3 linked regions of the Arabidopsis thaliana genome follow. The protein of the gene in region 1 interacts with the protein of each later gene in a pairwise test. Each region holds a gene or a part of one and is shown on either strand. Other genes may lie near its edges.

The links.
Region 2: the proteins of RDR2 (region 1) and CHR38 interact in a two-hybrid assay, tested with the Arabidopsis thaliana proteins (one study listed by BioGRID).
Region 3: the proteins of RDR2 (region 1) and SHH1 interact in a two-hybrid assay, tested with the Arabidopsis thaliana proteins (one study listed by BioGRID).

What each region holds. Positions count from the first base shown.
Region 1 is NC_003075.7:6,776,675-6,787,429, reverse strand, and holds RDR2 (RNA-dependent RNA polymerase 2), read right to left. Parts: upstream 6,982-10,755; 5' UTR 6,909-6,981; coding exon 6,357-6,908; intron 6,093-6,356; coding exon 4,186-6,092; intron 4,071-4,185; coding exon 3,920-4,070; intron 3,832-3,919; coding exon 3,040-3,831; 3' UTR 2,798-3,039; downstream 1-2,797. Other genes in the region: AT4G11120 (translation elongation factor Ts (EF-Ts)), read right to left, coding at 7,496-7,535, 7,619-7,707, 7,799-7,924, 8,022-8,206, 8,301-8,475, 8,607-8,696, 8,794-8,966, 9,055-9,364; SPA2 (SPA1-related 2), read right to left, coding at 10,755-10,755. UniProt on the Arabidopsis thaliana protein: RNA-dependent direct polymerase involved in the production of small interfering RNAs (siRNAs). Binds to single-stranded RNA (ssRNA); engages ssRNAs longer than 7 nucleotides and initiates internal to their 3' ends.
Region 2 is NC_003074.8:14,753,916-14,764,785, reverse strand, and holds CHR38 (chromatin remodeling 38), read left to right. Parts: upstream 1-4,700; coding exon 4,701-4,749; intron 4,750-4,863; coding exon 4,864-5,096; intron 5,097-5,192; coding exon 5,193-6,608; intron 6,609-6,712; coding exon 6,713-6,856; intron 6,857-6,945; coding exon 6,946-8,880; 3' UTR 8,881-8,988; downstream 8,989-10,870. Other genes in the region: AT3G42660 (transducin family protein / WD-40 repeat family protein), read right to left, coding at 9,085-9,477, 9,574-9,704, 9,802-9,928, 10,197-10,313, 10,395-10,497, 10,592-10,647, 10,740-10,870. UniProt on the Arabidopsis thaliana protein: Probable chromatin remodeling factor. Required for the initial establishment of DNA methylation and for accumulation of 24-nt siRNAs.
Region 3 is NC_003070.9:5,233,548-5,241,805, reverse strand, and holds SHH1 (SAWADEE HOMEODOMAIN protein), read right to left. Parts: upstream 3,763-8,258; 5' UTR 3,711-3,762; coding exon 3,657-3,710; intron 3,578-3,656; coding exon 3,492-3,577; intron 3,333-3,491; coding exon 3,287-3,332; intron 3,198-3,286; coding exon 3,029-3,197; intron 2,952-3,028; coding exon 2,891-2,951; intron 2,625-2,890; coding exon 2,573-2,624; coding exon of another isoform or gene 2,549-2,572; intron 2,512-2,548; coding exon 2,368-2,511; intron 2,276-2,367; coding exon 2,093-2,275; downstream 1-2,092. Other genes in the region: CCMH (cytochrome c biogenesis protein family), read left to right, coding at 689-832, 920-1,051, 1,132-1,335; ABCG35 (pleiotropic drug resistance 7), read left to right, coding at 5,233-6,064, 6,149-6,279, 6,375-6,767, 6,857-7,726, 7,819-7,972, 8,045-8,116, 8,207-8,258. UniProt on the Arabidopsis thaliana protein: Involved in RNA-directed DNA methylation (RdDM). Required for the silencing of some endogenous RdDM targets and accumulation of 24-nt siRNAs, but not for the production of Pol V-dependent transcripts.

The sequences.
Region 1 (10,755 bases):
TGAAGATAAACATAGAGGTATAAAAATAGAATAACCTTATTTTATTCATTAAGTTTTCAAACAAAATATTCAAAATTGTTTTAATGGTATTAATAGAAAAAATAGAATGTGTGGATTTTAAGATTTTGTTAGATTTTTTTTCTTATCTAATATTTGTTGAAATTAATAATATTTGGATTCTCACATCCTTATCCCTTATCCTTGATTCTTCCTATATAAGATCACAAGTGCATGACTATTTTTTTACACCACAAAGAAACATAAAGCAAATATAACTGAGAGATAATTATGAGTGATGGTCATGGCATGAAAGAAGGTGAGAATTGCATCGTGAATCAAAACCTCCACAAGTTGGATATCTTGATTTTCTGATCAACGCAATTCTTACTTTCTTTCTTGCTCCTATCATCACTGAGTATTTTAATCATAAATCATGTAAGGTTGAATATTTTTGACATTGAGGTCAATTTGTTAGTTTACATGAACATTTCCTAATAATCAATGACAACCATATCAAAAATCAAAATCCTAAAATCGGTTTTCTGACCTTTTGGTTTCACGATCCAAGCAAGCTTCCCAACTTTTTTTTGCAATAACCTTAGTATTTTTTTTTCTCTTACTATTGAGTTTTTTCCGATGTATTATGGTTTTCGAGTTCTCTATAATCTTATTAGTATATAGCTTTTGATGTTTTTTGTTCACAAAGATTACATAATGCCCTTTCTCTAATTTTCGGGTCCAAGTTCACTAATGTAGGCAATCCTATTTGACTAAGATTCTGGTAATCCTTTTGCTCTATCGACGAGGCATATTGATTAAGAGGCATCACATTATTATTAAAAGTGGTAGTTTTGTGCTTGTTTCAGGTGAAACTTGTATTTGTGATGTTCATTGCCTCATAAAAGGAAGCACCAACATTAAATTTTGAGTTGATGATATCCGAAAGTAATGTAGCGTCTAAGAATCATCTATAACAAATAATTGTATTGGTAAAAAAAACTAAAATATATCAAAAACAATGATCAACGTCCCAAACAGAAGTATCATTTGTTCTTGTTTTGTTTATTTATTAAGTATATAATTACTTATTTAACATGGAAGGGATAATTGCAAGTGCGACTAAGTACTCAATTTCTTTCTTATTTAGTGCTAAAAAGTAAACAAATATTGGAAAAGTTTCAATTTTTGTTATCCTAAAGATGCATTTCATCTTCATTTGACACCAAAATCGTTATGATTGTTTAGACGTGCTTCTCTCGATTTACGATTTACAAACGATCAAACATAAATGATATTATAGCTAATTATTCCATTGTGAAGAATTGGTATTCTGTCACATGCCCTACTATTAACTATTTTTAGGAGTGCTCAACAATTGTCCACCGTATGTAATTAAAAAGGACATGAATCAACAATTGTCTTTCTCGCACAATAATACCAATGTAAAAGCTATACCTAAATCATACCAAAAATCAGTAAAAATCGAGGTATATCAGATGTGGCACATATTAATCAAACTCACAACTCTCTTTCGTATCGGTATTCGTTTATGCCACTTGCTTTGCTTTCTCATTTCTTTATCTCCTCTCAATGTTAGCCTTAATACTATGTAATCGTCAACTACGACATATTGAAAACAAAACCAAACCAACACACAATAGTTGAACTTGAGAATATATTAATTCACCAAAACCTTGCACGATTATTATAGTTATTCGCATAAATGACTAAAACTATTATATGTGAAGCAATTTACCCATACACCAAACCCTTCTTACTATCCTAAGCATTCTCCTTCAAACGCATATGTGACCCTCTCCATATGTAGTTCGTTCTTGGGCTAATTTGTTCATTGGTATGGTAATCTTTTCCAACGTCTAATCTTCTTCCATGCCGTTAACACCCTCAATCTTTGAAAGCTCATTATCCTTTTTCTCCTCCTCTGCCTTGACACATATTACAAGCACTAAGCACAAGCACCTATCAAAAATGTAGAAATATGGTTCGCTAATTAAATCCAAACTCACAAATTATTTTTTCCTAGTGAGATAGAAAGCTCTTCAGAAGAACCATAACATGTAGAAATAAATACTACTAATAAAAAGAAGCTCATTGAGGCCACATCAACAAATAAGAGGATTTTAAAATCATGACACATCAACAAATTTAAAATTATGACTTAATTGTGTCTTAGAACTTAAATAACAAACTAAATAATAAATGATGTATCTAATAAATGGAATATATGTTACATCCTGCTCTCTATTCTGTTGGGTTGTTGCTGGTTGAGCCTTCGGTTTCGTTCTTCTTCGGGATCTCCTGTCCTTTGGAGTTTGCATGCTTGGTTGGTTCTTCTTGTGGCTCATGTTTCTTGGTTTCGGCCCGACGCCAACTGTTACTTTGGGATTGGTTGCAGGTTTTGATGTTTTGAGTTTCAGATTTAGATCTTAAGTTTCTTTTAAGCTTACCTTCTTGTACTTTTATGCTTATAGTTTGCTTCCCTCTTTTGGGCTTAGGTTTCCGGGGATATTGATGTATTCCGCCGGCTTAGTTCCCGACAGAGTTCGTCTCTTGTCGTCGTTGTACTTCAAAAATGCATTCTACTTTCGTATAATATAATGAAATCATTCAGTCGGAAAAAAAAAATGGAATATATGTTAAGGTATGAAGTGTACCTATTTACTATTTTCATCTTCCAAGAATTTCACTAATATTATCAAATCCATAAGCTGACATCAAACTGCTAGAGATATAGCACAATCGGTTTCTCATGGACTAATAGAATTAGTGTCAACGCCAGCACTCCATTTATCTAATTTTGCATCAACAATATCTTTGTCAACTGTACCAATAAATCATCTGGTAATTTACCAATTTAATCTCCCATTTTGATAATTTTCACATTCAAAATTACAAAATGACACATAATATAAAGTCACAAGTCTTGTTAATATATCATATATAATTTTGACACATATACAAGCGACGTTATAGTCCTTTAACTAGCAATTCTACTACACCAAGTGTTATATAGGGCAATCAAATGGATACAAGTCCACTTGTTTTCTCTTCAACGCTCTGTCTCTGTGCATTTTCAGCCTTTATATCAAGCAAAACGTCACCTACGATCCATGGGAAACTCAAGAATGTCAACTTCTCATCGCGATGGTTTGGATTGTATGTTACATAGTACCACGCCGATGCTAGCTTCTTCTTCTGTTGTTCGTCCTCGCAGCTTTTCTCGAACCATCCCATGGCCTCTTTATGCAAATCTTTCACGGAAAGCGTAATTCTATCCTTCATATCACCATACCTCCGGTTATCTCTCGCCAGATACATCTCCTTGGTTTTCAAAATGCCTGTGAGAATCTCCTCTTCGTTAGCAGCTCCATAGTATATCATCAACGAGGTCAGTTTCTCACCATACATGTCTCTATGGGCTTTCGCTGTCTCTATAAAGCTCTCAAAGCCAGCTTCTTCAAGTGTCACATCATAAGCTACCGTGTCCTCGCTCTCAGCTTCTGGCTTTCTCTGTGCTAGAGAGCTCTTCACAGCACGGTATAGTTTCCCAAACACAGACTCAGAGATGTATGTTGGTTTCTCAAACCGTTCCAGAAAATCAGGGAACTCTCTGGGCTTTAAGGCATAAGGCATCTCAGCTGGAGCTCCAGTTTTTGCAAAATCAACAGCCCTAGAGTGAAGATTTGCTAACTCTAGACACTTCTGGCTCCGGGCTTTTTCAGGGTCACGGTCTGCGTGAACCAAATGTGCAGTTGAGATCACCCCAAGCGTGTCGCTTATCATATAATCCACAAAAAATTTGTGGATTTCCTACAAAGCAGAGTGAAAGAAAGAGAATCAGCTTAGCTCCAAAGATTAGGAAACTTTCACATCATGAAAGCCTTTTCAAGAAACAAACCTCTAACGTGACGTCATGATCCATTAGACGAGGCCTGCTTCCAGCATAGTCCATTGGAGGGTCCATTTCGCTAGGTATAATCTTCTCATCCCAGCTAACAAAAAACTGGTCTCCGTCGAGATCGCCACCAGAACATTCATTTGGATGTGGTCTGTGGAGTCAACAAAAACCAAGGAGAAACAAACCATCAACTAAGTTGGGACTAAGAATCAGAAGCATATGGTTTATCTTATGGTGCATAACTCTAAAGGATTGATTTATTGTACCTTTCTCCCTTCTGAGGAAAGATGATGCAGTCGAGATATCCCTTTTCTTCGAAATGGACCTCATATATAGCATCAAGAACTCTAATATCTCCAGGGTGAAGACATGGGTTTTTCGTCACGACCACTTTCCCAATAACCACAGATGTTTCCTCATCAATCTTGCGAAAGTAGCTCTGATCGCGAGATTTCAGTTCCGCTTTAGTCAGGGTTACACGAACATACACTTGGCCATACTCCAGGATACCCATTTCATCCATGCAACCGATCAAGATCCGTCCTTTCGGTACAAGTATCCTGCATCTGCTCTTTAGTTCAGAAAGCTGGCTCTCGTGGTGCACACGAAGCATCATTGAGAGGTAAGGTTCTGAACTCGGTGCATATCCTTGAAGCAGCATCTTAACTAGCAAATTCTTGGAATTTTCTCCGCTCAATTTCTGCAGAACATTAAGTGCTGCATCGCGGTCTTCAAGCATATTCCCAAGCATAGATAAATGCACCGCTTGCATCGCCTCAAACATTGCATCTTCTATTCCAAGGGTCGACAAAAGGCAAATGATCTCCCGGTTTAAGAAGCAAGGCATCGACTCTGTCCACCTGGTAACGTTCAGCATCCTGTTGTTCGAGTCAAATTTAAGCATACTATCACGCAGAGACAACTTTCGGAAGGAACTGCGGTCAACAGCAATCACACCTTTGTAGCCACCGTATCGAATTTGAAAGGCAGAAGGGACATGACTCAATCCACACTTCTGTGCAACTTGCTTGGCAAATGCAAGTGAAATTTTCCCAATGCCATCCGAGAAGCAGTAATCAGCACCATCAGTTGTCACTTCGATGTCGGGAATCTGCTCCACATCTTGTGCACGGACAATAAGTGTTTGCCGCGAAGCACTGAACAACTGACCCATCCTAGCAGCACATTTGGAAATGCTTCGGATTTTACGGAAACAACCCATCCATTCTCTTATATCTTCCGCTTTTACTTTCTCGTTAGAAGCAAACATCCAGACCGAATTTCCTCGCAGTTGGCTCGCTGAAAAAGCCAAGAACTCAAACCTCTTAGGCCCAACGGTAATCCCTTCTCCAAGGATTGACAACACCCTGTTATAAATGTTGGTTCTAGAGGGCTTCACAAAATAGCCTTCCTTGGAGTTCACAGAGAGAGCATTTGCGGGAAGCTTGCTCCAATCTTCTTCCACAAAAGTAACTCTCATGAAATCCGAGACATGCTCTGCAAAGTTCTTCACAACATAATTTGCAGTCTCAAGCTCTGGACCCAACAGATAGATCTTTGAGGGTGTAACGTAAGCTCTCTGACAACTCATGATGTTCTGCTCGGTCAATCTTTTATAAGCTGATGCAGGGGAATGCTTCATCTTCTTAACCACAGATTGCATCTGAGTCTTGACAAAGAAGACAGGATCATAACATATAGAACTTTGCTGGTGAAGTTTCTTGAGGATCACCAATGCGGTTTCCAAACTCATACCACGAAGGATTTTGATCAGTTCCATATCTGACGCAGCAAAAAGACTGATTTTCTGCGCATGAACAAGCGCATTGAGTTGGAAAAGGATCTCATATGGAAACTCTAACCCCAAAATGGCGGCATTCAAGAGGGGAACAATTTGAGCTGCAGAAGCAAAGGTCTTCCCATCCACATAAGTTAGACTCAAAGTGTCTTCTCGGTAGTAAGGTAAGCCCGAGAAAATGTCTAACATCGTTGAGCCATTGTGGACTTCCAAACAAAAGCAAGTTGATGTACCAATTGATTTCGAACCAGAGAAATCAGTTGTCCGAATCCACATGAAATCAAAATCCTCCTTGCAGAATCTGTACCGATCAGACTTAAACTTTGTGGCTATGTGAACTGTTACTCTTTTAAATACCTTCGGTCCATATTTCAGCTGCAACATAAAACAACATGTAAGCTAAAAGAAATCAGAAGAGACCAAGATAAAACACAAGCATACAAATCAATCCAATCTCAATCTCATGCACGTTCATCAAACCATAAAGCTGTCACAGAGGATTCAAAGAACCAATACATGCATAAACATATGACTAACCAAAAAACTCAATCTTGAATCATTTTCACAGAACCTGAACTCCTAAATAAACTCAACACAGACTCACATTGTCGCAAAACACATTAGGACTAACAAATTTACCTTGAGAAGAAATGCATCAATCTCAGAAGCGTCACCATTAACACAACAACTAAGAGTTTCAATAATATCCTCAAACCTAACTTCAATCTTATAACAATCACCACTTTCCCAAACCCAAAACTCAACTCTTCTCTTCTCAGTCAAAATCCAACACCTCACACCATCCCATTTTTCTAGGGCACAAAACCTTTTTTCATCAGACTCAGGAAACCCAACAGTCAAAACGATGTCGTCTAGCCTTTTCCTTGGATCTACAGGACGAGGGATGATATCATCATAAGCTTCAGAGAGTCTTAGGTTATGGGTTTTGAAAAGGAGCTTGCTTTGAGAAGAGAGAAGCTGGGCTCGAGATTTGACTTCGAGGGTAGTGAATTGTACTCGAGCGAAGTCTCTTGGCTTCCAATTGTCACGAGTTGTTGGGATTTCGAGTGCGAATACAGTATCTTCGCCGAGGTGGAGTTCTAAGAACCGGAGGAGTTCGTCGGCGACTATGGTTTGAGGAACGTTTGAGATTTTAACCGTTGATCGGTTCGTCGTCGTCTCTGACACCATGATTAACCCAAGAGAAAGAGAGACGGGGACAGTGTGAAGAGTAAATGATTCTCGAGAGAATCAGAAGTTTTTGCTTTTTCAGAAAGTTTGCGTTTTTCGAAAATCAAAAGGTAGAAGAAGAGTGCTTAGTGTTTATTGAGTGTTTTGTGGTGTACTGTAACTCAATACAGATGTATGATATCAACCGTAAGATTAGTTCTCGTTGATCTTGATCGTTGATTGTGGATAATATAAAGTTGACCGGTTTTGTCTATGAATTATATTAAACCGTCAATTTCGACCGTTGGTAACCGGAGGAGCCAAGAACTCACTATCTGCTTATTCAAATACTTGAGTACCTTAAAATCAAACACATAAGTGAAGGTTTTTGTATAATGATCTTAGTAGGAGTAGGAGAACACAAACATGTTTTTTTTTTCTGGTCATAGCTTCCTAGGCACAATCACTCTTATTGCCATATTGTGTGAGAAACAAAATCATGAGAAAGATTCTATAATCTCAAGAAGGCGTTGAAGCCATGAACTCTAAAGGAACCAAAGAAGGAAAGAGTTCTGTAAATCTAAAACCATGTCGTTGATTCTTTGTCTTCAAGCAGTTTGAGCAACTGGTTCATCAGATGCTTCAAGCCTTCAAAAAAAACAAAATTCATAAGCGACTAATCTTACAACAATGATAAGCCGTACTGGACATACGGGTGACGGTTAGTTTACCTTTCGATTCCTTCCCCAACCTCGACTCTAAGAAAATCGGTAACCTTCACTGGAGAACCTACCTCCTTGGACAAATTATCCACCAGTGTCTGTGGAATAGGAGCCCAAGAGTTGAATTCAACAAGCGATGCAGAGGTAATAAAACGGTAAACTAGGTGTTTTAAGCTAAGACCCACATACCTTAATGTTTATAGCATCGTTCACAATAAACTTTTGCTCCATTAGAGCAACTTCTTCAAAATACTTACGGAGACGCCCTTCCACAATCTTCTCTATCGCCATCTGATTCTTGCCTGTACTTTCTGCCTGTCATATACAACATTTGATAAGCAAACTTTTCTAACGCAGGTTGTGTACTTTTTACAAATTACAGTTCAATTTCATAACATAAAGTGACACTAACCTGAGACTTTAGAATCTCGCGTTCATTTGCCATTGCTTCAGAAGAAACAAGGTCTTTGCTTAAAAACAAAGGCTTTGCTGCTACAACATGCATAGCCAGTTCTGAGCCTACACGCTGAATAGCCTCTAGTTGAGTATTTTCACCTTCTACTTCGAGAGATACAATCCCAGCTATACGACCCAACCCTATTCTCATTTTTTTTTTTAAAGTTAGAAATGCACAGAAATATCATAAAAAAAGAGATTAGAAACAATGGGAAGTATATTGAACAAATTGTACCTGGTTGAGGACTTGTGTGAAGATATGCAGAAAGGACGCCTGCTGAAGATTTTGACATCAAGAAACCTCTCCTAAATTTTACATTCTCTCCCATGATTGCAGCTACTTCTGTAACAGCGTTTGAAACCGTTGTTTCACCATTAACTTTTGGATGATCGAGGTTAAGCTTGAACTCCTGATAGCATCCATTAGAGTGATTAGAAATGAAAAGTTGATATCAATATCTCAGACAGTGCAAAGGAAACAACATAAATCCATAAATTTAAATAACAAAAAAGGAAACAAGCGAGTACATAAAAAACTGACCTCAAAAAGCTCCGGCCCAAAGGGGAAGACACCAGAAACTTGCTGCGAACTACTCTCAACCAGCAAAGCATGTTTTGCCATAGCTAAAGCCTGCAAGACATGTCAATTTTAGAAGACAAGGAACAGTAAAATAAACAAAAAGCCCATCATTCAGCAACAACCAATGTGAAATTGCTATGGGACTAACCAAGTACTGGAAAATCTCATTCCTAGCAACAAAATCAGTCTCACAGTTAAGTTCAATAACAGCAACTTTCCCTTCATTTTGAGCAACGGCAAGCATTCCTTCTGCAGCAGTCCGTGACGACTTTTTCGAAGCCAAAACTTTCCCTCTCTTTCTCAAATCCTTCTGAGCAGCCTCTGTGTCAAATCCAAAAAAACCCACTTCAAAACACAACAAAACATACACAACCTTCACCAAAACAAAAAACCTAAACCAAATTCTTACCAAGATCCCAATTGCATTCAACTAAAGAAGCCTTAACATCTTTAATAGGAGCACTAGTTCTTTCCCTAAGTTGCTTAATAAGACTCATTTGGTCAGATACAGCAGGAGGAGCTTCCGAACTAAAACTCCGTATGAAATTCCCAAAACCACGAACAAGGCTTGTGTAACCAGACGGTACAGAGCTTTTGTACTGAGACAAAGTTTCGAATTTGCTTGCCACAGTAGAATACTCATTTCCAGAACTAAATCTACTACTAACACTATAATAAAAGACTCCAATTGGTCTTCTCACTGCTCTAGCAAACGCCATTTTCTTATATGTTAATCAGTTCTCTGCATCCAAAAACAAAAATCCTCAATTTGATAAGTATAAAATTCCTTCCTTTAGATCATCAAGAAACAAATTCTGAACTTGAGATAATCAAACGCAAGTCTTAACTAATTAAACCCTAAAAGAAGAGATTAACTTGACTAGAAATAGATCGACGTGAAACGAGATCGAAATAGCTTGGGAATGGAGCTTACCCGGCGATGAAAGTTGTTTGGTTACTGTGATAACGACGGTGATGGTTTTTGTAAAATACGACTGAAATTGGAAAAGGGTTTAAGTTTATAAGTATGGGCCCATTGATGGCCCATTAAGAGTTCGATAAAATAGTTGTTTTTGCAGAAACTTTTAGTTTAGGGTTTATGATAATGGAGAAAAAGCTTCCCCTACCAATTTGACGACAAGAAGCTGTGAATCTTCTCAATTGTGTTTCGGAATCGAAATTCGATCAAGAGAAATGTCTAATTCTACTGCAATCTCTCTGAGAATGTGTTCTATCTAAGGTTTGTTCTTTTCTTTTTCCAACATTTCCTCAATTGGAGTTTTTGAACAATTGTTTTTCCATATGGCATGCTTCACTAGTTCACTATGAATTCTTCTTTGTGATTCTTAAGTCTTTCTCATAGATGTAAGACAGCTTGATCTTAGATTGAGCAAGGCCTTGATTCATCTTCTGTTGTTGTTTGTCTCAGAAAGTAAAAAAGTTTTCAGTACCAAGTGAAGAAGACCATAAACAAGTTGGAGCAGCTTGATTGAGCAAGAAACCTTGATAACGTTATTACGCTGATTCAGTCCTAAGCTATGTACAATGATAAAGCATTTCAAAGATTACTTTTGTGAACATTCAACAAAAAACGATGCATTTAAAGTTTTTAAAAAGAAAAACGAAGATTTTTCTTTTCTTGGTGGAGGAGATTCATCCGTAGAACTAAAAAGCTCATTTCAACTATATATACATCAGAGTATGCTCTTTTACCTTAGAACTATCGGAGCAAATTTACATATCACAAAGAGGAATCTTATTGTAAGAGCCAAAATAAAAAATAAAAAAATAAACACCTTAGAACACCACAAAAGAGAAGGTCTTTTACCTTACTATGTATACCCATCAGCGGTATAAACCCTTACCGCGCTGATCAAACCGCAACTATTGAACAACTATAGTTCTACTCACTCTCATTCCTTCACCCCATTTGAGGAAAACTTTAGCAACAGATAGATAAAACTATCTCATATCTGTGTGTTGAAAGCTTGTTCGTTATCTCCGTTGTTTTGCCTGATTCTTGGATTGATGGGGTTTTTGTTTTACCATAAACCAAGAGGGCTCTAGGTGTAGAATTACCTCAGCTTCTTCTGTATGTATGTATTTATTT
Region 2 (10,870 bases), on another chromosome or scaffold:
CAATGTTATTTGATTTGGGCCTTTTAATTGGGATTTTGTAGACTCGAACCATTTGCTATAGCTTAACAGCCCAACTATAAAAGCACTGACTCTTTCGCGACAAATTATAATCCTCTCCTGACAACCCTAATCCTCTCACTTCCATTTCTATCTCTTTTATCTCTCTCAATTTTCATGCAAACAAACTCTAATCTTCATCGAGTTGAACCATAATAGATCTCAGTCTTCATATTGTTTTTCGTGGAAGAAGGAAGAGAGGAGGAGGAGGAAGAAGGGTTATGGAAAACGCCTCAAATTGACCCATTGCTTCAGGTGATTAACTGACGTTGAATCAAAGACTTACCAGTCTTCCTAGCAAGTACACATTCACGTCGGGGAACCCTCTCAAGCCTCATATCTTGAGTCTTATTAAAATCATGTCCCAATCGACTAGCCTCCAACAGGTCCTACTTACAAATACTATCCACCTCCGACGATTCTGTTATAGTCGGCGAGGAGCTCTCCTACAGCTGAAGATCTTAATCAGTTCTCTATTTACTCAACCTCGAGGATATAGATTGTCTCAATGAGCCTCTAGATCGAATCAAGTTTGAGAATCTGGATCTATTCTACGTTGAGCGTTTAGATCGAATCAGCCTCCAGAATTGAATCTTCAACCTCCAACGTCGATTCAACCTCCAAGCTCGAATCAACCACGACCATCTCCTCAACTTCGAGCCTCTATATCGCATCACATTTCTCAAGCGCAAAAATCACATGTGGAAAAAGATGAGGAAGCTGAATCTAAGGGACTCAACTCTCTCGGAAGATGTGCTCGCTCCTTTATAAGAGATATGTTCAGTCAGCCCGTGGGCAATATACCACCGTCATCTCTCCCAGATCGGAGTCTGGAACCACTTGTTAAGTATCTTCTCTTACCATCTTATAAATTGTATAGATGCTAGGAATGTCTGTGTAGGAACTAGGAAGATAGGTTATATAGATTATCAAGAAATCTCTGTATAGGAATTAAGAAGATAGATTGTGTAGGAATCTTTGTCTTAACTTAAAATGTGGTTCGATTAAATCTCATTAATTATGTTTTGATTGAATCTTATAGATTGTGGTTAAAGTTTGAATATGTGTACGATTAAAATTTATGTTTCAAGATCGTTTGTAGTTTGATTGAACCTTTGTAGTCTTAAAATTGTGATTTTTTCAATCTTTGAAAATGCTCTTTTATTGTCTAATTTTCCATTTAGCTTGTAGTGGTTACCAAGATTACATTCATTGTTCTTTTATTGTATGTTTCTAATTGCATGCATTTTTTTATTTTGTGTTTGTAGGTATGATAAGAACAAGTTAAAGCTTACCGGATGATTACAAAGGTTTTTACAAAAAGTTTCATGGGTCATATTACAAGAAGTTCATTAAATAAAAAGAAAAAGGCAGCTAAGTTGGTTTTCCTTGAGAATGACGAGTCTTCCGATGGTACTTCGCGTCGATCAGAGCTATCTTAAGAAGAGGATGACAAAATCTTTTTCAAGTAGTGTGCTTCTTTATGTTTGCTTTTTCTTATATTATTGTTTTGAAAAACTGTTAAGAACTAATATTCTTTGTTTTGTTTATGCACTCTACTGTCACAAACGACATAGGAGAATATTCTAAAGTTAGAAGAGTAGGAAATTACACCAACGAGAAGCGGAAGTACCCGAAAAGCTCTTCTTCTTTCACAAGCCTGCAAACACAGCTTAAGGAAGCTAACTGCAAAATGAAGGAACAAGAAACTTTACAAGCAGAGCGTGAAGAAGAGGCTTTGCAAATTGCAGCTGAGCACTTGATGATCGTGAAGTACTTGAGCGCAACCGACCCAAACATTCTCGCCTTCCTCGAGTCTCAATCTATTGATCCCGCTACTGCTGATGTCCAAACATAGGTACCTTTTCCATCCTTCTCTGAATTTGAAAACGTGTGTTGGTTTGAATAAGAATTTTTGTTTTGTTTTGAACATATAGGTTGTTTGGTTTTGAATTGAACAAGAATGTGTGGTTTGTTGGATCTGTTTTAAATACACATTTCTTATGTGTTAACAAGTCTGTTGATAATAAATTAGAATTATAATCAATTTATCAAGAATTAATTGAAGGCTAAATCAAGAATTAAACCTCTAATCAATCACAAAGTAGTAGCAATTCAATCACCAAAACGTTCACAAAACAATTGTGATGTTGTGGCAAAGATGTCGCATAACAGTCGCTATACTTAGCGACGACATTGCGACTAAATAGTGACCACTTAAATCGGTTGCACATTAGTTTGTTATGCGAGTGATTATTTTAACACTCGTTGTTTAGGAAATACGTGTTTTAGTCGCAAATAAGTCGCAAGTAGGGGTTTTGCGACTGATTAGTGACTTCTTATGTTGTCGCCAATTAGCTGTTTTTTTGTCCTACCAACAAAAAAAATTAGTTGTTTTCTTGATCTAGAGACTTGATCGTAGAATTCGATGGTAGTGAGGAATGTTGGTGAGATGAGAGAGAGAGAGAGAGAGAGAGAGAGAGAGAGAGAGAGAGAGAGAGAGAGAGAGAGAGAGAGAGATTGTTGGATAGCATGACAAAATTTATAAATCAATGATAATAGCATGTTTTGTCCTTGAAATACATGCGTTTATAAAATCATATATAATCTTATATGTCACACTGACGAGTGATGGAGAAAATCCGGTGAGAGGAGAAACACAAAATATACGAGGGATAAGAAAGATAGCTTCTAGGAAGAAAGAAAGAGAGAATTGATGGAATCACATATCCAACGAGAGGAAGATAGGAAAAAAGGAATGTGGTGGTGATGAGATTCAGTAAAAGAAAAAGATATCTAGAGAGAGAATGACTATAATGTTGCAGACAAACAAGAAAAAAAAAGAAGAAGATAATAAAAGGATAAGATGAACCAAAAACCCTTAAAAAAACATATAGCAAATAGTGTCCATTTAGTCAAAGGTTATTTCGTTGATTCTTTTCGAGTCTTAGGTTAGTTTCTATATATTCTCTAAATTTTATAATTTTCTTTTCGATTCTAGTGAGAGCTGTTGCTAAAGCTAAAAAGAGAAAAAGATATTTAAGTAAAGTTTTCTATTAAACATTATATATTTTACTATCCATATCAAATCATGGAACATTCATAGCCACCCAAAACATTTTGAGTGCCACCAGCAAAAAAGGCCTAATCATATCAAAAAAAAAACATTTTTGTAAGTGTAAGAGTTGAACCTACTACCTATTGTTCTATCACCCAACGATTAACCAGTATAGTTATAAGAGATATTTGGAAAATAGATGACGGTTAATTAATAACTATATCTTATACCGTAAACACATGCTTCCCTAGCTTGTGACTAAGGCAGATTCTGGTAACAACTCATATTTTATGCATAAGATAAAGCTCACATAGACCTTGTTCAAAAGCATTACATATCCAACGATTTACAATAACTCTATCATTTACATTTCCAAATGTTATATATTTTAGTGTTTGTTTGATTTAATGGAAAAAAAAACAGTTTTGCATTAACTTTGTAAGGGATACAACAATTAAAAAAAGAGTCAGAAATAAAATAGAAAAATAATATAAACAAAAATAGAGAAATCTACTAAAGAAAACTAGATATTTGATCTTCCAACATATTAAACAGAAAAATAAAAAACTAAAGAGAAAAAAAATTAGAAATGGAGTAAAGAAAATACAGCAATTCACCGTTACCCTTAACTACTTTTTAAAATATTAAATGATATTTTCTTTTAGAATCTTGAAATAAAAATAAAAGTTTCTTTTTTGATATCAAAACCATATTAAAAACTCATCTTTTACTAATTTTAGTATAATAATTAAAAAACAAACTAAGTAAATGTTTTTGTTTTGTGCAAACTAAATGTTAAGTTCATGAATTTGTGTAAGATATTTTCCCTATAAACCTATCTCAATGTGGACCCAATAGGCCACCATGCACACAACTTGGCTTTTACTCTTTGTGTCAGTAAAATCTAAAGATAGTAAAGACAGACCAAATCGCAGCCGTTTATTTCCCATATAAAGAAGTACGTACATGGAAATGACAATAATACCCTCACTCCTTAAACCCTCCTCTTCTCTCACTTTATTTTTCAGTCTCTCTTTATTTCTCTCTATCACTTTTTATCGATTCTGCGCAAATTCATGCAAAAAGGGAAAATAAAAAGTTCTACACTGTCCCCAAGATTCTGCGTGAGTGTGGTATTGAATTCTTCGCCGTCCCTTTTCTATTTATCATATTTTGTTCCTTCTCTTATTTTCCTCTTAGTGTCAATCATGGACTAGAATCAACTCTCTTTTTCCCTCAAAGGTGATATATTGATTTTGTGTTCTGATCATAAAGTTGTGGTTTTTTCAATCTGGGTTTTGTTTGTTGTTGATGACGATCATGTTTCGTTTTTCATTTTGATACGACACTGTTACTCTGTTTTACACCTTTTTAGTACAATAATGTTGCTTTCGCACATTAACCAATATGATCAAGTTTTAAAGTTCATATATCATATATGTTCTGGGTTGTCTCTAGTTGCAGATAAAGTTTGAATCTTTTTTTTATTTGTCAAGTGGTGAATGAATCCTAATGAAGCTATACATGTATTGGTTACAGGAGATCATATGTGGATCCACAAGTGATCTTGAAGGGAAAGAAAAAAATGAAGAGAAAGCATTACTTTGAGTTTAACCATCCATTTAATCCATGTCGTAAGTGTTTTACAAGATCTGATGTTTTATTTTCTTACCTAAAATGTCATGCATTGAGATTTGAATGACTGCTGTTTCTTTACCTAAAATGCTCTGTTTTGTCTGTTGTGGTAGCTTTCGAGGTGTTCTGCTGGGGGACATGGAAGGCCGTGGAGTACTTAAGGATCGAGAATGGAACGATGACAATGCGTCTCTTAGAAAATGGACAAGTTTTGGATGATATAAAACCATTTCAGAGGCTTCGAATTAGATCAAGAAAGGCGACTTTGATCGACTGTACTTCTTTTTTAAGACCCGGTATCGATGTTTGCGTTCTTTATCAGAGAGATGAAGAGACTCCAGAACCAGTACATTCACTTTCTTCAATATGAAAGTCTTTAAATCTATGCGCATTTTTGCTGTTTTGAAACGTTTTGTGTGTGTGTGTGTGTGTGGTGGTGTAGGTTTGGGTGGATGCAAGGGTTTTATCTATAGAGAGGAAGCCTCATGAATCTGAATGCTTGTGTACGTTCCATGTCAGTGTTTATATAGACCAAGGCTGCATTGGTTTGGAGAAGCATAGAATGAATAAAGTTCCGGTACTCGTGGGACTCAACGAAATCGCCATCCTTCAAAAGTTTTGCAAGGAACAAAGCTTGGACCGTTACTATAGATGGAGATACTCTGAGGACTGTTCTTCGTTGGTGAAAACAAGACTAAACTTAGGGAAGTTCTTGCCTGATCTTACATGGTTGCTTGTTACATCAGTTTTGAAAAACATTGTGTTTCAGATTAGAACCGTTCACGAGAAGATGGTTTATCAGATTGTGACGGATGAAGATTGCGAAGGCTCTAGTAGCTCTTTGAGTGCAATGAACATTACGGTTGAAGACGGTGTTGTCATGTCTAAGGTTGTTTTGTTCAATCCAGCTGAGGATACTTGTCAAGATAGTGATGTAAAGGAGGAGATTGAAGAGGAGGTAATGGAGCTGCGTCGGTCCAAGAGAAGAAGCGGGCGGCCTGAGAGATACGGAGACTCTGAGATTCAGCCGGATTCGAAGGATGGATGGGTAAGGATGATGCCATATAGGTACAACATATGGAATGTTTCAAGTGATGATGATGATGAAGAAGAAGATTGCGAGGATGATAAAGATACTGATGATGATTTATACTTACCGTTATCGCATTTACTTAGAAAGAAAGGAAGCAAAAAGGGATTTAGTAAGGATAAGCAGAGAGAGATAGTTTTGGTAGACAAAACTGAGAGGAAGAAGAGAAAGAAAACAGAGGGATTTAGTCGAAGTTGTGAGCTTTCGGTTATTCCTTTCACTCCTGTCTTTGAACCTATACCGTTGGAACAGTTTGGTCTCAATGCAAATAGTTTGTGTGGTGGTGTCTCTGGAAATTTGATGGATGAGATCGATAAGTATCGTAGTAAAGCAGCGAAATACGGGAAGAAGAAGAAGAAGAAGATTGAAATGGAAGAGATGGAATCTGATCTAGGTTGGAATGGACCTATTGGGAATGTGGTTCATAAAAGAAATGGACCGCATTCTCGAATAAGGTCCGTTTCTAGGGAAACCGGAGTTTCTGAGGAACCGCAGATTTATAAGAAGAGAACGTTGAGCGCAGGTGCGTATAACAAGTTGATAGACTCGTACATGAGTAGAATTGATTCTACAATTGCAGCCAAGGACAAAGCAACCAATGTTGTTGAGCAGTGGCAAGGGTTAAAGAACCCCGCAAGCTTTTCGATCGAAGCCGAAGAAAGGTTGAGTGAGGAGGAGGAGGATGATGGCGAGACTTCAGAGAATGAGATTCTATGGAGGGAAATGGAACTATGCTTGGCTTCTTCTTACATTCTTGATGACCATGAGGTTATATATATATATACCTTTTGGAAATCTTTTTATATTTTCCTGAAAACATTCTTGATGACCATGAGCTTACATTTTTATATGTTTAATAGTTTGATTTGAAGTTTCAGGTGAGAGTGGATAACGAGGCGTTCCATAAAGCAACCTGTGATTGTGAACATGACTATGAATTGAATGAAGAAATCGGAATGTGTTGCAGATTGTGTGGTCATGTAGGAACTGAGATAAAACATGTTTCTGCACCTTTTGTAAGTGGAAACTCTATACCAGACAACATTTTGTCACCTACTTTCGATGAGTTACTTGTAATATATTTTGGTGGTATGGTTTTCGATAGGCGCGGCACAAGAAATGGACGACGGAGACTAAGCAAATCAACGAAGATGACATTAATACTACTATAGTTAACCAAGATGGAGTTGAGAGCCATACTTTCACTATACCAGTTGCTTCCTCAGATATGCCATCGGCTGAAGAAAGTGACAATGTCTGGTCTTTAATACCTCAGCTTAAGAGAAAACTGCATTTGCACCAGAAAAAAGCTTTTGAGTTTCTCTGGAAGAACCTAGCCGGGTCAGTGGTTCCCGCGATGATGGATCCGAGTTCAGATAAGATAGGTGGGTGTGTAGTTTCTCATACTCCCGGAGCAGGAAAAACATTTCTAATCATAGCTTTTCTCGCGAGCTACTTGAAGATATTTCCGGGTAAAAGACCTTTGGTTCTTGCTCCAAAAACAACTTTGTACACTTGGTACAAGGAGTTCATCAAATGGGAGATTCCGGTCCCTGTTCACTTGCTCCATGGTCGTAGAACCTACTGTATGTCCAAAGAGAAGACCATTCAGTTCGAGGGAATTCCAAAACCAAGCCAAGATGTTATGCATGTTCTTGACTGTTTAGACAAAATCCAGAAATGGCATGCACAGCCGAGTGTTCTTGTAATGGGTTACACATCGTTTCTAACTTTGATGAGGGAAGATTCAAAGTTTGCTCATAGAAAGTACATGGCTAAAGTACTGAGAGAGTCTCCTGGATTACTGGTTCTAGACGAGGGACATAACCCGAGGAGTACCAAGTCGAGATTACGAAAGGCCTTGATGAAAGTTGATACTGACTTGAGGATTCTGCTTTCTGGTACATTGTTTCAGAACAACTTCTGTGAGTACTTCAACACTTTGTGCTTGGCTAGACCCAAGTTTGTTCATGAGGTTCTAGTGGAGTTGGACAAGAAGTTCCAGACCAACCAAGCCGAGCAAAAGGCGCCTCACTTGCTTGAAAATAGAGCTCGGAAGTTCTTCCTTGACATTATAGCCAAGAAGATTGACACAAAAGTGGGCGATGAGCGCTTGCAGGGTCTCAACATGTTGAGGAATATGACGAGTGGTTTCATCGATAACTATGAAGGGAGTGGAAGCGGAAGTGGTGATGTTCTCCCAGGTTTGCAGATTTACACATTGTTGATGAATTCCACTGATGTACAGCACAAGAGTCTTACCAAACTTCAGAACATAATGTCAACTTACCATGGATATCCACTCGAGCTCGAGTTACTCATAACGTTAGCTGCTATCCATCCTTGGTTGGTCAAAACCACAACCTGTTGCGCCAAATTCTTCAACCCTCAGGAGCTTTTAGAGATTGAGAAGCTCAAGCACGATGCAAAGAAAGGATCAAAAGTCATGTTTGTGCTTAATCTTGTGTTCCGGGTGGTCAAGAGGGAGAAAATCCTCATATTTTGTCACAACATTGCGCCGATCCGCCTGTTTCTTGAGCTGTTCGAGAATGTATTCAGGTGGAAGAGAGGCCGAGAGCTCCTGACCTTGACAGGGGATCTCGAGCTGTTTGAAAGAGGCAGAGTAATAGACAAATTTGAAGAGCCAGGAGGCCAGTCCCGTGTTCTGCTGGCTTCGATTACAGCCTGTGCAGAAGGCATCAGTCTAACCGCTGCTTCACGGGTGATCATGCTTGATTCAGAGTGGAATCCTTCTAAGACAAAGCAAGCAATCGCACGTGCATTCAGACCGGGACAGCAGAAAGTGGTGTACGTTTACCAGCTCTTGTCGAGAGGAACACTTGAAGAAGACAAATACAGGAGGACGACCTGGAAAGAATGGGTCTCCAGTATGATTTTCAGTGAAGAATTTGTGGAGGACCCATCTCAATGGCAAGCTGAGAAGATTGAGGACGATGTTCTTAGAGAAATCGTGGAGGAAGACAAAGTCAAATCCTTCCATATGATCATGAAGAACGAGAAAGCTTCAACAGGTGGCTGATTGCTGAATTTTTCCAGTTCAAGTTTCTGTTTCACCATGCCTTTGATGATGATTCTTTAACAGCTTGTTGTATTGTAATATAAACTAATCCTGTATCATAAGTTTGTGTAATCATTCAGCTATAGCATCATAATATTTAATAAAGTGAAACAGATGTATTCATCATAATCTTGTTAAATAAAACAAAACCTCCAAATAAGATCATTAAACAGTTGATTTGAGGAACGGGTTTGAAGAACGTCGAGCTTCTCCTTGATTCACTTCCTTTTCCTGTCCCTTGTCTTCCTTGTTAACATTGTTCACCGGATTCTTCAAATTCAATTTCTTTATCTCTTTTATCTTCGCATCGTCACTTTTGTCTTTCTTTGTTTGTTCTTTTCCCAGCTTTAGACCTTCTGAAACTTTCGATTTCTTTAGAAGTGTAGGAGCAGATAGCTTAGTTGCAGAAGATTTCATAACTGCTTCTGTGTTTTCACTAGTCTGAATCGAAGCTGGAGGATTCTGGACCTTGGATTCAACTCTTGTAACTACTTCTCCGTTTGGATTCAGCGCAGGATTTGTTACCGCCGCCTCGCTAGCTTCTTCAAGCAACCTTTCCTGTTAGTGAAGAACCAAAAAATTAGCATTACGTCTGTATCTAATTTTTCTTCTCTTTTGTGCAAAATATAAGAAATGAAAGTACTTGTAGAGTACCTCGAGTATGCTGCTGAATTTCTCTGCCAAAAAAGGAAGCTTGAGTTTGGTAACCAGTGTTATTGCAGCTCTCATTGATTTTTCTAGAGTTAAAAGCTCCATAAGTTCACTGGCCCTTGCAAAACTATCACCTGAAAGATGTAAAGAATCTTGTTGTAAAAATCTGGACAGTAATGGTCTTAGAATATGAGTTCACACACAACACAAGCAGATATATATTTAACTTACTACTACAACACGAGCTGATGAGCCTTAGTATGCATTTATCTTGAGAAACTTCCAGGTCAAAAGCTTCATCTTCAAGTGCTGTTGTGTCTACCCCGACCAAAGCCATATCGTCCACTTTTCGTTGAGTCTGAGATTAGGAGGAAATAATATATTGGAAATGGTCTCATATATCGATATTGATACTAGTTTCAGCAGATTTTGTTACTTATAGCAAGAACACGAAATCTCCTGGTATATATTCATCTCTGTTGCTTACCCAAAACAAACTTAAGACTATTTCACATATATTTTGGTAGTTAAGAACTTTGGAGACACAATATACTGCTTAACAAAACTTGACCAGAAAAGGAGAAATAACAGCAAATTAAAATGGTGTAATAAGGAGAGAGAAAAACCTCGTATAAACGCAGCTGCTTTAGTATTAACTCATTTTCTAGAGATGCTGCTCCTAAATCTGAGGATGCAAGCGGGAGAGAAAGGTCTAGTATGGTAAGGATTGGTTTTGGTGTCACCTGAAATGGCAGGAAGAATAGTGGTGAGCCAATATTTTCCAGATAAGTAAACACCTTAATATCAAGAGTGATAATATATACCTGTGGGAACATCTCCGCGTATTTGCAAGCTATACAGTACAAACTGCTTGTATTCAAGCCAACCACCCAGTAGTTTTCTTCTTGTTTCTTCTCTTTACTGGTACTGAAAATTACAATGAATTCAGTGAGTAAAAACACCTTGAAGAAACATGCGTAAAGAAAGTTCTCGGAAAGTGTCAATAGCTACGGCAAGATACCTGAAAACTGGGATCCATGAGCCACCATATTGACTTGTAAAAACCCTCAACACACCCTGCAGGAAACCTTTCTGTTGTAATGCGTGTTGTATGCAAAGAGCACCAGTGTAATAGCAAAATGAGTGATCGTAAATGCAAGAAAGCACACCTCAGAATCATATGAGCTCAAAGAACCTTCTTCACTGAATCCTATCCATGTTAAACGTGAGCCAGGGGTTAAGGCAACACGGCCTTTCAACTCCTGAGTCATTTTGGATATGTTAAAGACTCTAAATTCCA
Region 3 (8,258 bases), on another chromosome or scaffold:
CTCCTATTGTAGAATGTGTTTTTTTCTTTTAATTGTTTCTGTAACATTGTTCCTTCCTGACGCTATTCTATGTTTCATTGTTTTGGTTCATCTCATATTTCTCTTCTCAATTTGTTTTGGTCATTTGGACTCCAAAGAGTGTTGGTCTTCTCTTAGTGAGTTTTATGCAGTTACTGATAGAATATAGTTCTATCAGTTACAAGGCCCATGTTTATTACAATTTCAAACAAATTATATATTTGAAGGGCCCATGTTTATTATGCCCACGAGCACTGTATACGCGCGAAACGTCTTCGGACACACTCTCAGTCGCACGCTCTTTCACGCGCCTTTTCGATTTCACATTCGGATCCGATTTGTTCACCCGCCGAAGATCCACCGGCATCTTCTCTAAACGGCTCTGTCGAGAAGGATCGGCGCTATTATTGCTGGAGGACGATTGGGTGTTTACTTTTTACTAGTAAACGGAGTAATTTCCCAAGCGAAAGGTTTCATTTTTGAGCTCCACGTTGAACGAACTAAGCGGTTTCTCGGAGTTCTCTTGCTTCCTCTCCACCCAGGTTCTCCCTTCATAACTTAATTTACGTTCCTTACGTTTTGGGTCTCTGAGCCTCTGTTGCCCACAAAGTGTTCGACGAAATGCCTGTGTGAAAACTCACAATACTCATATCATGAAATTGTCAGCGCAATGGAGAAAACAGACGAAGAGAGGAAGAAGGCTCAGATGCTGGACGCTCGGGCCAGAAACATTAGCCACAATGTTCGCTGCACTGAGTGTGGAAGTCAGTCCATTGAAGACTCGCAGGCAGATATCGCTATTCTCCTTAGACAGGTGTGTCCTTTACTCCGTTTTTTCTTCCAAAGATTAAGTTGAAGATAGTTTTGCTGTCTACTCTTCTAATACACCTGAGTTTTGTAGCTGATCCGTAATGAGATAGGAGCTGGAAAAACTGACAAAGAGATCTACAGTAAGCTGGAGGATGAATTTGGGGAGACAGTGCTTTATGCCCCAAAATTTGATTTGCAGACCGCAGCCTTGTGGCTCACACCGGTCAGTTTAAGCTGTCAATAACAACTGAAACCTCCATGGGGACGGAGGTTTAATGGACTCTTGTTTTTGGTGTGTGACAGGTTATAATTGCTGGAGGTACCGCTGCAGGAATAGTTTACCAGAAGCACAGGCTAAGGAAAAATGTAGACATCATGGCGTTGAACCTTATTAGAGGTGTACCATTGACTCCAAAAGAGAGAGTTACCATTCTTGATGTTCTTATTCCACCTTCCCCTCCTCCTCAGGGAGTTGTTTCCCGATTGAGGAGATGGCTCAACCGGTAGTTCCCGTGTCTCCTTAGCTCTCTTGTTCTTGGCTCGAATCTTGTTGTGTTAACAAGTAAACAATGTGTTGAAAAGAGTGAGTACACATTGATTGTCTTGGAGAAACAGATAGGGACTGCTTTGCATCCATTACAAGCAAATGGATTCTTCTGTAGAAGATCTTGGGATGAGATATGTATCGAGAAAGCATTATTGAAAGTGTGATACTTGTTGTACCTTTGCTGTGTGATTGAATACAGAGAGCGGGTCGATAGTTATATTACTTTCGGCACAAAGATTTATTTCTTTCCAAATAGTTTTTGTGCTAAATGAGCTTTTTTCCACATCTTTATCTTAATAAGCCGAAGCTCACAAAATGTATTGACCTGCGTATTGTATATACAAGAAGCAATGAGTAAACAGAAAGAAATAGTCTTGCTCACAAGAATGAGACTGTATGTTGAACATTACATAGGGTGTTAACTGGTTAAGCATTTGGGTATTATTACATTGTACCATCACCATTCCCTTTACAATTCTAAGCTTTTGCACTTTATTCCACATAGTTGACAGAAAAAAACTAACATAGAATCCTAGGGCCGGTAGGTACTTAGTAGTGGAAGTCTATACATGAGCATGTTATTCCATTTTTGGGTCAGTCATATACTATATAGTCATAGTTTACTGCATCTTCCAAATATGACTTCAAAACCAAAAAAAATTACTCTTCAGGGCGGCGGCAAATTCTTTCTAGTCCCAGCGATTCCTGAACATACACTTAACACAAAACTTCGTCAATAGTTCCCACACCCAACAAAAAGGCTGAGATCAATCTTCTTACCTCTGTATTGTCAAGCTCGTAGCGAACAAGAAACACGCAGTTACATCTCGCGTGATCATGAATCCCTCTCTTGATATTCAAAACATGACCATCACAGTAGAGTGCTTGATCCTCTCTTTCCTGCTCATTAACCACCCCAACTTTCATTTTTAAGTTCAAATTTCTTTTGTTAAATGTTCCATCCTTCATAATTAGATCAAAGTCAGCCTTACTTGGAAACATAGAAGCAGGTCTCCAACGTTCACTCTCCCACACTCTGATGGTTCTACAGGAATAGACCGCTCACGCACTGATGTTTTGACGTTTACCCACTCATCGTGTCGGTTGTCGAACCCAGAAAACCGTACACGCACTTCCTGTTGCAGACACTCTTAGTTGCAAACAAATCATCCATTAAACAAAAGAGAAAAAGCTTACCAGTTCACCAGTGCGAAGAACTCTATAAGTAAGGAACGAAGACACGTCATACCTGAAAGACCAGAATTCCAGCAAATAAGCACAGATATAAAACACAAACGTATATTACAAGTCCAAAAATTAGGCTTTATATGAATAACGTTCTTTCTTAAGTTCACACTGAATAGGTAAGGGCATTCCTCGTTGAGTTAACAATCAACAGAGAGTTCACATTTCAGGTTCTTACTTAGGCCACTTAACAAAGTCATATGCTAGCAGTAGTCCAAGAGTTAAAGCAAAAATAGAAACATGATATTCAATGCAAGGAAACGTTCTTACCACGCGTAGTCCCGCGCTGATTTAGCCTCAAAAGCCAGATCAGCTAAATCAGAGGCCTTGCCTGTGTATGAAAATGTTCATAGGCGTTATAAGGCGTTAACTAAAAGAATCAAATATGGCACACAAGAAAAGGAAAACCTTTTCGTGTTTGAACAAAGGTAGAATTCCCAACAAAGGTAGCATTTGAGGCATTTGAAGCATAAGAACTGGGATTAGATAAGTCATGAATCTGCAAAGGGGGAGATGGCAAAGTTTTGGATTTTGGTTGGCTTTGATGCTTCAGCTTCTCCTGGAACCAAATCTGTACCTGAAAACATTTTGATTCAAAAAAAAAAGTTATTTCTACTCTATTTGCATTTTTTACCAGTTAGCTCTATGAAGAAAAAAGAGACGCACCTGTTTCCAGGTTATAGAGGATTTGCCATTCCGATTCACAGAACAACTATAAGAGAAAATGGAAGAAGACATAAAGATTTTTTAGATACTGTGCATGAAAATCAATAATCCTACTATTCCTATAAATCCACAAAATGCTTGTGTCTCGATTCTCTAACAAACACATTCACATGATCAAATTCTCGTAAAATTCAGAATAAAGTACCTAAAAGTAGAGGCAACAGTTTGACAGAAATCTTTGTGGAGAGATTGGTCACCGAGCTCCTTATACAGATTCTCCATGTCTACAATCTTCGAATAAGAAGAGCAATAAGATCACAAAGCATGAATCTCTAATCTAAGAAAACGAATGATAGAAAGCATAGATAACCTCAGACAAGGTAAACTCGGTGAAATAGTGAGAGGAATCATCGGAAGCAGCCATTATCGAGCGCACAAGGAAGAAGAAGAAGAAGTGAAAAGGATCTTGAGCTAATTTGCTACTACACTGATGCCTTCAGAGTTCAGTGAGCTTTAGTGGGTTAATGGGCCTAAAATGGATAATAATAATATAAATGGGCTTAAACTCACTAATTTATTACCCATATGCTTGTTTTTTGGACCGTCTATTATTTTATTTTAACCACACTCATATAACTGTACTATTATTTAATATTTATAAATGACTTTGAAACAATCGAGACAGGATGAGGGAACCCGTCCGCGGGGAATCTTCCAAGTCATATGAGCTGGTGGTGCGTGGTGGAGTGTTTATTAATATTCATGATTACTGACATTATTAATCAAATACTATCATAGCATGTATAAGTATATAATTTAATCACAGCTAATCCTCACTAAGGCTCTACCTTCTTTTGTTGGCGACAACCCAGGCCCTTATTTCTCCAATACAAGATTCGTTACTAAACATATCAAATATACATTATTGTAATTAGTTAGTTAATTACACGTGCTTTAAAGCATTTTAAACGCACAAATTTGAAAATGATGGCAAAGGCCCTGATTGATTTTGACCGAGACACAAACACGCAAACATAGAAAATTTAATCAGGGATTTGTACTCGGTTACATAGCTGTCATTCTGTGTTACGTATTAATTACGGTATTTAACTAATCACGCACGCAGTAGATATACTATAACTTTACTTGATTAACAAAGCTAATAGCATCCATAAATTGGGGTCAAGATGTTTGAACTCATAACGAGTTACTTTGACATTTGTAGATTGTGTGTAGTTGGTACGAGGTCTACTAGTAAGTCATAACCAAATATAACTAATCGTAGTAGACTAATTCAATTTCTTACATAAGTCCCAAATTTTCTATACCTGTTCTGCACTAATCACTCCTCTCATTCTTATCACCATTGGTCCATTGCCATCTCTTGAATCCGTCAATCTTTTATTAATTTAAAAAGGCCACCTGCTCTATTGTTGACAATAGAAGGTGAGGAAAAACAAAACCAATCAAGCCAAAAAAAGACAACCTGTCTACATCATTAAGCACCAACCTTATACAAACGTATAAATCGAATTTTTAACTCGTGTATGATTGACTAGGCATCCTTCATTTTCCACATGGGCCATCCTGTTAAAAGATGTTTCATTATTGCATGGATTACTATAATAATCACAAGAATTTAAAAGGCACAATCAAGTGGTGCTTTTCTTTATAGTTTTCATTGGAGATTGTGATAAAATAACAGAGAGCACCAGAGGGGGAGCTTGCACTCGTCATTGTCCCTTACTCTTTTCTCTCTCAATGCTGCAGAGGCACTGACAAACACACCATCTTTGCTTATCTCTTTCTCTGTTTTCTTCAACGAAATTTACATATCATCCGTTTCTTCTACTCACATATGGATCCTATCAGTCTAATAGTCTAAAAGAAAGAAGAAGAAGCACTTAACTTAATAGAAACAGGATCAAGATTCATAAGATCTAAAGATGGATTACGATCCAGCTCATGCTATGAGCAGAGGTGGGAGTATGCGGCAAACCATAAGTCGTAGTGTAAGCAAAGCAAGCAGAAACATGGAAGACATATTCAATACAAGCTCTAGACGAACCAAATCTGTCAACGAAGACGAAGAAGCTCTCAAATGGGCTTCCATCGAGAAACTCCCTACCTACAACCGTCTCCGCACAAGTCTCATGCCTGAATTAGGCGAAGACGACGTCTACGGTAACCAAATCCTCAACAAAGCAGTTGACGTCACGAAGCTTGACGGCGAAGAACGTCAGAAGTTCATCGACATGGTCTTCAAAGTCGCAGAGCAGGACAACGAACGGATCTTGACAAAGCTAAGAAACAGAATCGACAGAGTTGGGATCCAACTTCCGACAGTAGAAGTGAGGTACGACCACTTGACTGTGAAAGCTGACTGTTACACCGGTGATAGATCTCTTCCTTCGCTTCTTAACGCGGTGAGAAACATGGGAGAAGCTGCTCTAGGCATGATCGGAATTAGGCTTGCCAAGAAAGCACAACTTACTATTCTCAAAGATGTTTCTGGTATCGTCAAACCTTCAAGGATGACACTTTTGTTGGGTCCTCCGTCTTCCGGGAAGACCACGCTTTTGTTGGCTCTTGCCGGTAAACTCGACAAGTCTCTTGACGTCTCTGGGGAGGTAACCTATAATGGTTATCGCCTCAATGAGTTTGTTCCCATTAAAACATCTGCTTACATTAGTCAGAACGATCTTCATGTTGGTATCATGACTGTTAAGGAGACTCTTGATTTCTCTGCTAGGTGTCAAGGAGTTGGTACCCGTTACGGTATAATCTTAGACTTTTTGTCAAACTAACTATCGATTTTGTTTTTGTTGGTCGATTGAGTAATCTTACTTGTTATTGATGCAGATCTTTTAAATGAGTTGGCAAGAAGAGAAAAGGACGCTGGGATTTTTCCAGAAGCTGATGTTGATTTGTTCATGAAGGCCTCTGCTGCTCAAGGCGTCAAGAGTAGTCTTATCACTGATTATACTCTCAAAGTGAGTCCCTCTCAACCTTAAATACATAATTGTCTTGATTAAACGATTATATAGTGTTCATATGTTGAGATAGATGTTATTGTTCTATGAAACAGATTCTAGGGCTTGACATTTGCAAGGACACTATAGTTGGAGATGACATGATGAGAGGTATTTCAGGAGGTCAGAAGAAGCGTGTGACAACTGGTGAGATGATCGTTGGACCTACTAAGACTCTGTTCATGGATGAGATATCCACCGGACTTGACAGCTCCACGACTTTCCAAATCGTGAAATGCTTGCAACAGATTGTTCACCTCACAGAAGCCACAGTTCTTATATCTCTTCTCCAGCCTGCTCCTGAGACGTTTGATCTATTCGATGATATAATCTTATTGTCGGAGGGACAGATTGTGTACCAGGGACCTAGAGACCATATTCTAGAGTTCTTTGAGAGCTTTGGGTTCAAGTGCCCTGAAAGAAAAGGAACAGCTGATTTCTTGCAAGAGGTAAATATATATATTAGACCGTTAGACCTAACTTGGTATTAATATTTGACCCGAAAGTGACTTACAAATTACATTTACGTGTGGAACAGGTTACCTCAAAGAAAGATCAAGAACAGTATTGGGTTGATCCAAACAGACCCTATAGATACATTCCAGTGTCGGAGTTTGCCAGCAGCTTTAAGAAATTCCATGTTGGATCTAAACTATCTAACGAGCTATCAGTACCGTACGACAAGTCTAAAAGCCACAAAGCAGCTCTAATGTTTGACAAATACTCAATCAAGAAAACAGAGCTTCTGAAAAGCTGTTGGGACAAAGAGTGGATGCTCATGAAGCGAAACTCCTTCTTCTATGTCTTCAAAACCGTCCAAATCATCATCATTGCCGCAATCACCTCAACACTTTACCTTAGAACTGAAATGCACACAAGGAATGAGATTGACGCCAACATCTACGTCGGATCACTGCTATTCGCAATGATTGTCAACATGTTTAACGGTCTTGCAGAGATGGCCATGACGATACAGAGACTTCCCGTGTTCTACAAGCAAAGGGATCTTTTGTTTCACCCACCATGGACATACACGCTTCCCACTTTCTTGCTAGGGATTCCAATCTCCATCTTCGAGTCTACAGCATGGATGGTGGTGACATATTACTCCATAGGATATGCACCCGATGCGGAACGGTTCTTTAAACAGTTCTTGATTATATTCTTGATCCAACAAATGGCTGCTGGGATATTCAGGTTCATTGCATCTACATGTAGAACCATGACCATAGCTAATACCGGCGGTGTCCTTGTTCTACTAGTGGTGTTCTTGACTGGAGGTTTCCTTCTTCCTCGAAGTGAGATTCCGGTTTGGTGGAGATGGGCTTATTGGATATCCCCTCTTTCTTACGCTTTCAATGCCATCACCGTCAATGAATTGTTTGCTCCTAGATGGATGAATAAAATGGTAATCCTTCATATTTTCTTTTCTCCGTAAGTCCTCATCACCAGCCTGTAGCTTGTAGCTAATTAATTATTACTTCTGGTGAAAAAATGCAGTCTGGCAACAGCACAACGAGGTTGGGAACAAGTGTGCTTAATATTTGGGATGTATTTGATGATAAGAACTGGTACTGGATAGGAGTTGGAGGCTTGCTTGGTTTTACTGTCATTTTCAACGGCTTTTTTACATTGGCACTTACTTATCTAGACCGTAAGTTTCTTTTCTTTTTGATTCTGTTTTCGTTGTCACCGTAAGTTACTTATATGTGTATCATGACAACAGCCCTTGGGAAGGCACAAGCTATACTTCCAAAAGAAGAAGACGAAGAGGCTAAAGGCAAAGCTGGATCCAATAGTAAGTATATTCCATTGTTTACATCTTAAGAATTCATTATATAAACCAAAAAACAATAATATTAAGAATTTACTCTTTTATGGAAAACAGAGGAGACTGAGATGGAGAGTGTGAGCGCCAAGAAAGGAATGGTTCTTCCTTT